Neurospora crassa OR74A: one gene and its partner. The protein of the gene in region 1 interacts with the protein of each later gene in a pairwise test. Links are inferred from orthologs where the notes say so. Each region holds a gene or a part of one and is shown in the gene's direction. Other genes may lie near its edges.

Region 1 (5,419 bases):
CAGAATGGGATGCTGCGAGGATGTCCTTCGTGGCTGTTCATAAAATGGGCGTCTTCTCGGCGACTATAAAAGTCCGCCGTTTCCGACCGCCAGTCTGTTTACCGAGTCAGCATAGGCTTGAGGAAGATGCATCGACATATCACCACATACCAGAAACTGGGCATGATAAAGACCTGTTTCCGGCACCAGGCATACCACCCGTCACTCGCTGCACCAGTTGAGCTCCCAATCCACGACGATCCAACTGTATAGGCGCACGGTTTGGCCGACGTCGTGTGGTTGGCAGCTCTTGCCCATCATCATCATCATCACTTTCTTCCGACTCAGCCTCATCTCCATCGAGGGCCAATTGGGATGGTAGCTTCCGAATAGAATGGATCGGACTGCCGAGACGATCGTGCTTCAACTCGGGAGTCGAAAGTAAGGCTGGGGATGTGGCTGCAGGAGAGGGTAGGTGGGATACGTGCGATGCCTCAGCCCTCTTGGGTGTTGAAGCATGAGTGATCTTTCGACGCTTGGAGCTTCTCTGGCCATCCTGAAGGCTCGGTAACACATCTGGGATTTCCTCTTCCGAGATGGGCCTGAGAGGACTGGATGGAGTATGAGATCGTTCTATGAGAGGACCGGCTAGATCACGAAGAGCTCTTTGGGAAGCGCTGGGGTGGTTATTCGCTATGACTCGGGGAGTAAAGAAGCGCCTGAATTTCCGGGGGGTGATGGACGGGTTTCGACGTTCCTTGGCTGCGCTTCGCGGAGGAGGAGAGGACGGAATGGGGGGAATGTTGTTGCTGGTGTTCAACGACGACGAGCTCTTAACTCCCAAAGGGGTTGAAGTGCTGTTGGAGTTATCGGCCATGGCGAAAGGATTCTCTTCGACTACCAGAGCGAAGAGCTGGGTCCAGGCCGCTTATGCAACACGATACCTAGAGACGATGTACACGGGGCCGGCGACGCTGGATGCGCGCGACCTGGCAGCGAGGGGCCGCCGATGGCAAGGGTACGCGGAGACAGAGAACAGGCTGTGGTGATGGATATTTGTACAGAATCAGTTGAGCAACAGCTGGCGCAGAGGTATTGCTGGCAAGTGTCGACTGGATATTGGACAAGGGCTGACGTCGAAGTTGCAGGCTAGGCTGTGTGCAGCAAGCAGGCTGAGCTTGAAGAAGGACGGGAGGTCGAGGTCGTCGTTGAGAGACAAGGTAGGCGGCCGGGGGGGGCGTAAGGTATTGGCGCCGAGTTTATTGGTTGGCGGATTTGGTCGTAGTAGTATGGGTCCTCTGAGTGAAGTGGTGCGGCCGGAAGGGGTATGTCTATGTCGGTTTCTGGTGTAAGTGTGTCCTTGGTAGTATGGACTTGAAATTGAATGCGTAGGTGGAGATGTGATGGAATTGGATTTGGTTGTTCGTTTCTGTTGTGGATTTCCCTTGCGTGGTTCAGTTCCTAGAAGTACCTACGCTTTTGCTGAGTTCCCACTTGAGTACCTAGGTTTGCCGGGCAACCAAATCGACAGCCATGGAAACCTGACCTGACCTGGCCTGACCACCCATGGACTCCATTGAACACCTCCTCCAGTGGGCAGAGGCTGGGCGTGCGGTCCGTAGCGGCCGGGGGTCGGGGGGGAGGCGCCTAGAAGGAATGCGGTTTAGTGCTCCATCAGGGGAACGCGAAGACGCGGGAACAAATGACGCGCTGCATCGCGAAAGCTTAATGGCTTTTTCGTCCCATAAATCGCGGTTGCTGAAGACATGAAGATTGGTCAATGCACTGCACTTCAACCGCGGGATGTCTGGCCCACCCTGATGGGGCCCGTCTTGCTCGTTGCCCCACCAGCCGCCGGAGTCCAGTCTCTTATCGCTTATCGCCCTGCAGCTGTCATCCAAAAAAATCATTCTGCAACGACGACCCTGCAATCCCTGCGCTGCGAGTGCTGGAGGGAAGAACAGTCAAAGGGCACCCGGACTGCCATTTTCACCAACCCAAAAAAGTCACCAGGTCGTCCTGCTCAACAACACCAGTCGGAAACACCCCCCGACTTAGAGCACCGGCACCATGGCGATCCAAAAGAAACACGGCAAGGGCCGTCTTGACAAGTGGTACAAGCTTGCCAAGGAGAAGGGTTATCGTGCCCGTGCCGCCTTCAAGCTGATCCAGCTCAACAAGAAGTATGGATTCCTCGAGAAAAGCAAGGTCGCTCTCGATCTTTGCGCTGCGCCCGGTGTAAGTCATAGTCGTGAACATCCAGTTTATCATGGAGTGAACTAACCATGTCTGTGTCCGTCCCTAGTCGTGGTGTCAAGTCTGCGCCGAGACTATGCCGACAAACTCCATCATCATCGGTGTCGATCTTGCTCCCATCAAGCCCATCCCCAAGGTCATTACCTTCCAGAGCGATATCACCACCGAAAAGTGTCGCGCAACCATCCGCTCCCATCTCAAGACATGGAAGGCCGACGTCGTTCTTCACGATGGTGCGCCCAACGTCGGTACTGCTTGGGTCCAGGATTCGTACAACCAGGCCGAACTTGCCCTGCACTCGCTAAAGCTGGCCACCGAGTTCCTTATTGAGGGCGGTACGTTCGTCACCAAGGTGTTCAGATCCAAGGACTACAACTCCCTTCTCTGGGTTTGCAACCAGCTTTTCGCCAAGGTCGAGGCTACGAAGCCCCCTTCGTCCCGTAACGTCTCCGCCGAAATCTTCGTCGTCTGCCGCGGCTTCAAGGCCCCCAAGCGCATTGACCCCAAGCTTCTCGACCCCCGCTCCGTTTTCGAGGATGTGGCCGGCCCCGCCCCCAACAACGAAGCCAAGGTGTACAACCCCGAAGTCAAGAAGAGAAAGAGAGAGGGTTATGAGGAGGGAGACTACACCCAGTTCAAGGAGATCTCTGCCAGCGAGTTCATCAACACTGTCGATCCCATCGCCATTCTCGGCCAGTACAACAAACTCAGCTTTGAGCAACCCAAGAACGGCGATGTAGCATTGGCTGCCCTCGACAAGCTCCCCGAAACGACCGAAGAAATCCGTCTCTGCTGCGCCGATCTCAAAGTGCTCGGCAGGAAAGAGTTCAAGCTTCTCTTAAAATGGCGTCTAAAAGTACGGGAGATCTTCGGCTTCCCCTCCAAGAAGACCCAGAAGGCAGCTGTGGACGAGGAGGTTGCGGTAGTGGAGAACATGGATGAGGAGCTTAGGATCCAGGAGGAGCTGCAAAGGATCAAGGAGAAGGAGACCTCCAAGAAGAAGCGCGAGAGGAGGCGCGAGAATGAGAAGAAGCAAAAGGAGATTGTCCGCATGCAGATGAACATGACTGCGCCCATGGATATTGGTGTGGAGCAGGAAGGTCCCCGTGGTGAGGGTGCCATGTTCCGTCTCAAGACTATCGACCAGAACGCTGCCCTGAATAAGATCGCCAAGGGCAAGATGGCCGTTATCAAAGAGACCGAGAAACCGAAGGATTACGACTTTGGCTCCGACGGCGAAACCGACGAGAGCGACGAGGAGGCCGATCGTCTGGAGGAAGAGCTCGACAACCTGTACGATCAGTACCGGGAGCGGAAGGCGGCGGCCGATGCCAAGTACCGTGCCAAGAAGGCCAGGAAAGAGAACGGCGACGATGAATGGGAAGGCGTATCTGGCGATGAGGAGAAGGGTAGCGACGACGATGACGATGAGGAACTAGAAGTGGACAGCAGTGATGATGATTCCGACTCAGAGGATGGTGAATCTGGCAAGAAACTTATAACAGATCTAGACGGCCAGCCAGAAGAGAAGGATGGTCTGTCCAAGCGGGCCAAGAACTTCTTCAGTCAAGGTATCTTTGCGGAGATACCAGGACTTTTGGAGGAGCCAGAATCTGAGGAGGAGGAGGCTCAGGAGGCTGAGCTTGTTGAGGCTGTGGAGGACCTCAAGGTTACCAAGAAGGAGAAGAAGGAAGCCAAGGAAACCAAGGCCAAGAGCAAGAAGGCGGCCGAGGAGAGCGATGACGACGACGATTTCGAGGTTGTCAAGAACAACGAGGATGACGACTGGGAGAACGTTGAGAAGAAGAAGAAGAACGGCAGGCCTGGTAAGTTTCACTCAGTCCCTCTTCAGTATGACCTGTTAAGGGCAATGGCTGACTATGACAACTACAGACATCGACATCATCACCGCCGAGGCCATGACCCTCGCCCACCAGCTCGCGACCGGCGAGAAGACAAGTTACGACGTCATCGACGACGGTTACACCAAGCACGCCTTCAAGGACCGCGACGGTCTTCCCGACTGGTTCCTTGACGACGAGTCCAAGCACGACAAGCCGCACAAGCCCATCACCAAGGCCGCAGCGCAGGCCATTAAGGAGAAGCTCCGGGCCTACAACGCCCGTCCTATCAAGAAGGTGGCCGAGGCCAAGGCCAGGAAGAAGTTCAAGCAGGCCCAGAGGCTGGAGAAGCTCAAGAAGAAGGCCGATATGCTTGCCGGTGACGATGGCATGTCAGAAAAGGAAAAGGCTGCTAGCATTTCGAAGCTCATGGCGTCGGTTGCTAAGAAGACGAGGAGGGCGCCTATCAAGGTTGTCAAGGCTGCTGGTTCCAACAAGGGTCTCCAGGGCAGACCTAAAGGAGGTTCGTACTATCACTACCTTAAGATCTGGTGTGTTCTTTATGTTGGAATGATGCTAACTCGGTTTTTTCAATTTTATAGTCAAGGGCAGGTACAAGATGGTGGATCCTCGTATGAAGAAGGAGTTGAGGGCGATGAAGAGGATTTCCAAGAAGAAATAGACGTCGTGTCCAGCAGCAGTATAGTTGGTGGAAGTTTTAATTGCGATACCTTTTTACCTGTTCATATCGTTGTAGAAGACGGTTGTTATGACAAGACAGATCTTGTTATGCTTGTATATCAAAGGGGGATTGAATGGTCAATAAAGAGAGCAGCACTGTTAAAAGCTTTCAAGACGTCGTTTACTTGGGTTCAAGGTTCTTGAGCTCCTGCTGCCGCCGAGGTCGCCACCCTGTCGGCGCGCCCTTCCCGTCCTCAGACATCGGATGACATGACACCCGGGCCCGAGCTGGGCCTGGGCCGGGCAGCAGGGCAGCATATAAGGTCCGTTACATAGCCCCTCTACCCCAGCGGGCCCTGCGGTCTTATGGCGCAGTGGTTCATGATGAAAACGTTGTTGGGTGCGCGGTATCCGAGGTACAGTTTTCGTAGGTTGCAGCTGGAGCATTGTTGTTCGTTCCACAAGCTTACCCGGGCAACTTGGCTTTTTTTTTTTTTTTTCTTTTTTTTTTTCCCCGAAAATCGGGGAGTTGTCGATGATAACACAGATGTCAAACTTGGAGTGTTGCTTTTTGCGGATTTGGAATTGTATGAAATAGAAAGAACAGAACTTCAAGTCTGCACTTGATTCTGACTGTACGCACCACTTAGAGGTACCCTTTG
Region 2 (4,256 bases), on another chromosome or scaffold:
CGTCACTGCTAACCCCGAAAAAAGTAAGTTCTTCCCTCAGACCAAGGCGAAGAAGGCGGCAGCCAGGAAGTCGGAGTCTTTCATCATGTCGGATGACTCTATCGAGGAAGCTTTTCGGAGCGTTCCGGATGCTGTATGGAGTTCGTCAAAGGCTCGTCGTCGGAGCGGAAAGGTTCAGTTTGTCGAGGAGTCACCGTCCTCTGAACCAGTGTCTCAGGAGAAGGAACAGGAAGATTTGGAAGAGCCATCTCTTCCTGCGATGCCAAGGAGTACCACCATTGATGCCAGCAGCGATGCCGAGGACGAAGTGGAAGTTCCTGGCTCATCATCGCAAGAGGCCATCACCAAGAAAAGTGTGAAATCCCAGACGCCGCTGGGCCCTCGGCTCCGGCAATTCTCGTATCAACCAGGTAAACCCGGTGCTCGCCTTGTCAATGGTCTGCCTACACCTTCCTCAACCCAAGAGAGATCTGCTGCGGTGCGTAGATCATCGTTGAATCCAAGCTCGCCCATGTTGACTCCGTTGCAACGCATGGGAGCCCGGGCATTGAAGCAAGTTACACCCCGCGCCACGCCTCCTAGCAGCCTCCGCGCACGTAAATCAAGCAAGCCGAGCGAGGCTCTCGGCTCCGTCCAGGTGGATCCCGCCGCCATTCCGTTGCCGTTGGCCGACTTTGCTGAAGTTAGAGCCCTGAACATGTCGCTTCAGGGGAGCGAGGATCAGATTATTCCTGAGAGTGATGGAGAAACCGAATTGGGCACGGCAGCCACTCGTCCGCGACTTAACTTGGCGCAGTACCTGTATTCGTGAGCCCCCAACTCGTGCTCTCTGGAGTGTATTAGGAGAAGCCAGATATGTGGTGTGCATAGCTCTCGGCGTATCGGTAAGGAAGAAACCCCGCCTGGAAAATGGGTGGGCTTGAATTGTACTATGGTCTGTTGTAAGGAAACGAGGAAAGATCATGGGTCAGGAGTATTATCAGGCAAAGAAGGCAATCATGGAAAGAGCAGGCTGAAGTAAATGAGGAGAACTTCTATTGCCTGTTATGCGATAACATTGCCCTGATGGGCCATTCATTGATGGCCTTTGTCCAGAAGGTAGCTATATCACTTTAGTAGGAAATAAACAAACAATGGTAACCATGATGAAGGAACACTGTTGCACCTGTCAAGACACTGTCAGGAGACATGTCACCATCAGATCCAAACATAAATCCTATAGGTATACTATACACGAGGTAGACGGGAGCGTGCTAGAATAGGCAAGTATCCCTCTAACCGCGATAAGATCGATGAGTAGGTGCCAGGGCAGTTCACCGCCTTTGGCAGAATGCCAGAACCCCAAGCGTGAAAGTGTGGGGCAAGGTGCTGGGGGGCTCCACACTGCTGGGAACAATCCACTAAAATTTCACTGTAATCCACTGGCGAACAAAAATTCATCGAGACGGGAAACAGTCGCTCGACCACAGCCGACCCGCCCTCCACTGTCTCAATTTTTCCATCTGGGTTTCGTTTCGATACCTCGACATACTACCTCGACCATTATTCCGCCCGCTCGACATCACTCACAACCCCATCACAGCGAAATCCCGGATTCGACTTTCTTTGTCGCCTCAATCACCTAGGTCTCTCTATTTTAGCGACTGGCAATCAACCAGGTCGACTCGTACAAGCGAAAACCAGCGTGTGCAAAGATGGCGGATACCGATTTGCAGGTAAGCAGACCGGCGCTGGAATGCACACCACCGATACGGTGATACCCATGGGCTGGTAGTTGTGGCCAAACTGGGATGGCTAGAGTTCGACGCTGACCATGCCGTCTTGCGATTGCGAACAGGAGCGCCTGCGTTCTCACGCTCAGGCCTTTGACGGTCTACTGTCGCTGATCCCAGCCAAGATGTACTACGGCGAGGACAATAGTGTACGTTACCCCCACCCGTTGACTTAGCTCTTCATCATAAACTCAACCATTGATGTTGGTGTCAAAATGCCTTCGATCGCGTCGCTGATCCCAAGTAACCCCGCCAACAGGATCAGTGGAAGAAGAAGAAGCAAACCAAGGAGCAGGCAAAAGCTGCTAAGCGGGGGAAGCTCGATCCCGACAGTGAACTCAACCGCAACGCCAAGGAGGTCATGGAGGAGCGCGCCCGCAACAAGCGCAAGCTCCAGGAAATGGAGGAGAGCAGCACTGAAGACAGCGACATCGACGTCGAAATCCCTGGTGTTGAGAAGGAGAAGCCTCTTGAAGGACTGAAGAAGAGGGTCGTCAAAGACGACGCCGAGACAGAAGAGTCTGCGCCTAAAAAGCAGAAGCTTTCCGAGGAGGAGGAGGAGGTGGTGGAGGAGGAGGCCGTCCCCGCTGAGAAGCCCTTGAGCAAGAAGGAGCAAGAAAAGGAGGCCAAGCGTCTCGCAAAGCTGGCCAAGCAGGAGAAGAAGAAGGCCAAGCTCGAGGCGAAACTAGGCAAGGGTGGAAAGACGGAAAAGAAGGACGACACCGCCGAAGAAGCCAAGCCTTCTACCGAAGCTAACGAGGACGACGAGAACGACGATATGGCTCCCATTGATGTGTCTGGTCTCGTAACAAAGGAGGATGAGGGCGAGTCCCAGGAATCCGCTCAATCTTCTGTTTTCGACAGTCGCGACAAGGCCGGTTCCGCCGAGCCTGCCAGCGCCAACACCTCGATCTCTTCCGCCGTTCCCCCATCGGATAAGCCCAAGTTCAAGCTTCCCGCCGATACCACGGTTCTCCGCGAGCGTCTCGCCGCCAAGATTGAGCAACTCCGTGCCGCTCGCAAGGTTGAGAAGGACGACGAGGGTAAGCCCATTCGCACTAGGCAGGAACTCATCGAGATGCGCCGCGAGAAGGAGGCCAAGCGCAAGGCCCACAAGCGCGAGCAGAGACAGAAGCAGAAGGAGGAGGAGGATCGGAAGCGGTCAGAGGCTATTGCCAGCTCGCGCAACTCTCCCCTAAGCATGCTCAGCCCCAAGGACGATGTTGAAACCAACTTTGCTTTCGGACGTCTCGCCTTCTCTGATGGTGTTCAGCTTTCTCGTGACGCCGCCTTTGTCAAGTCCGACGGAACCAAGAAGAAGGGCCCCACGGACGCCAAGTCCAAGCTTGCCAAGCTTGAGGCGCAGAAGAAGCGCCTCGAGGCCTTGCCTGAAGATAAGCGCAAGGAAGTCCTTGAGAAGGAGACGTGGCTCGCTGCTCGCAAGCGTGCCGAGGGCGAGAAGGTTCACGACGACGAGCACCTGCTCAAGAAGGCTGTCAAGCGCAAGGAGAAGGCAAAGAGCAAGAGCGCCAATGAGTGGAGAGAGCGCAAGGAGGGCGTCGCCAAGGCCCAGTACGATAGGTCAAAGAAGCGCGAGGAGAACATCAAGAAGAAGCAGGACGAGAAGAAGGCCCGCAAGATGGGCATCAAGGTCAAGAGCGGCAAGGGCGGTAAGGGTGGAGGAAAAGGTGCTTCCAAGGGTAAGAGCAGGCCTGGATTCGAGGGCGGATTCGGTGGTAAGAAGAAATAAGCGTCGGATAAGGTGTTCAGCAAGGGGTGTTTTGTCTTTTTGGAGAGAGATGTTGATACCACTGCTGCTGCATAGCGGCAGATGCTCGGGAGGCTGGCATATCCTTTTCCCATTCTTCTGCCTTGTCGCTACGTACATATTTCTTGCTGGAAGGGGGTAACAGGTGGTGTTTTTGGCGTTTGTTTTTTTTCCTCATGGTTTTTCGTTTCTTTTTTCTTTGCACGGTCGGAATGGAAAAAGAGATTATATCACACGTACATATCACAACTGGACCAGATCACGACAAGCGGTTAACATGGTACGAGGCTGGGCAAGCCTTGTCTTTTGTTCTTTTATACTTAGCTAGCTTTTAGTAGTGGTGGCGAAGGGAGGAGGTAGGGGCTGGAGGTCCCCCTTCTTCTTCAGCGAGGCAGCATCTTCAGGGAGTTAAAAAGTGATTATCAGCTCACCGAGTCTTTTCTCTTTTTTTGTCCGGTGACTTGAATTGGTGATGTGAGACGCATAGCTTCCCTTTCTTGCTTGTCTGATACCGAGGCGCTCTCCGGTGTAGGCGTTAAATTCCAGCTGTGAAATGAGGTGCTGTTAGTGCTGGGTGGTCGGACTCTACTTTATTCGCAATCAAAGCACTAACACGGCGCCTGGAAGCCGACATAATTCTAGGTGATGCTACACGATTTTATCATGATCGGAGCAACCCGTGTTCCGTTCCACAAGGGAAGCTTGGAAGGGGTTAA

The links. The genes of interacting proteins can lie anywhere in the genome.
Region 2: the proteins of NCU03669 (region 1) and NCU06090 interact in binary tests that used the Saccharomyces cerevisiae proteins (3 or more experiments, as listed by UniProt). The link is inferred for Neurospora crassa OR74A from reciprocal best matches to the Saccharomyces cerevisiae genes SPB1 and RRP14.

What each region holds. Positions count from the first base shown.
Region 1 is NC_026505.1:2,020,779-2,026,197, forward strand, and holds NCU03669 (AdoMet-dependent rRNA methyltransferase spb1), read left to right. Parts: upstream 1-1,906; 5' UTR 1,907-2,049; coding exon 2,050-2,217; intron 2,218-2,284; coding exon 2,285-4,061; intron 4,062-4,128; coding exon 4,129-4,599; intron 4,600-4,678; coding exon 4,679-4,758; 3' UTR 4,759-4,931; downstream 4,932-5,419. Other genes in the region: NCU03668 (WD domain-containing protein), read right to left, coding at 1-94, 151-856. UniProt on the Saccharomyces cerevisiae protein: Required for proper assembly of pre-ribosomal particles during the biogenesis of the 60S ribosomal subunit. Specifically methylates the guanosine in position 2922 of the 25S rRNA at the stage of 27S pre-rRNA maturation.
Region 2 is NC_026507.1:1,847,947-1,852,202, reverse strand, and holds NCU06090 (hypothetical protein), read left to right. Parts: upstream 1-1,456; 5' UTR 1,457-1,694; coding exon 1,695-1,715; intron 1,716-1,837; coding exon 1,838-1,921; intron 1,922-2,031; coding exon 2,032-3,522; 3' UTR 3,523-3,975; downstream 3,976-4,256. Other genes in the region: NCU06089 (exonuclease), read left to right, coding at 1-811. UniProt on the Saccharomyces cerevisiae protein: Involved in ribosome biogenesis and cell polarity. Required for the synthesis of both 40S and 60S ribosomal subunits and may also play some direct role in correct positioning of the mitotic spindle during mitosis.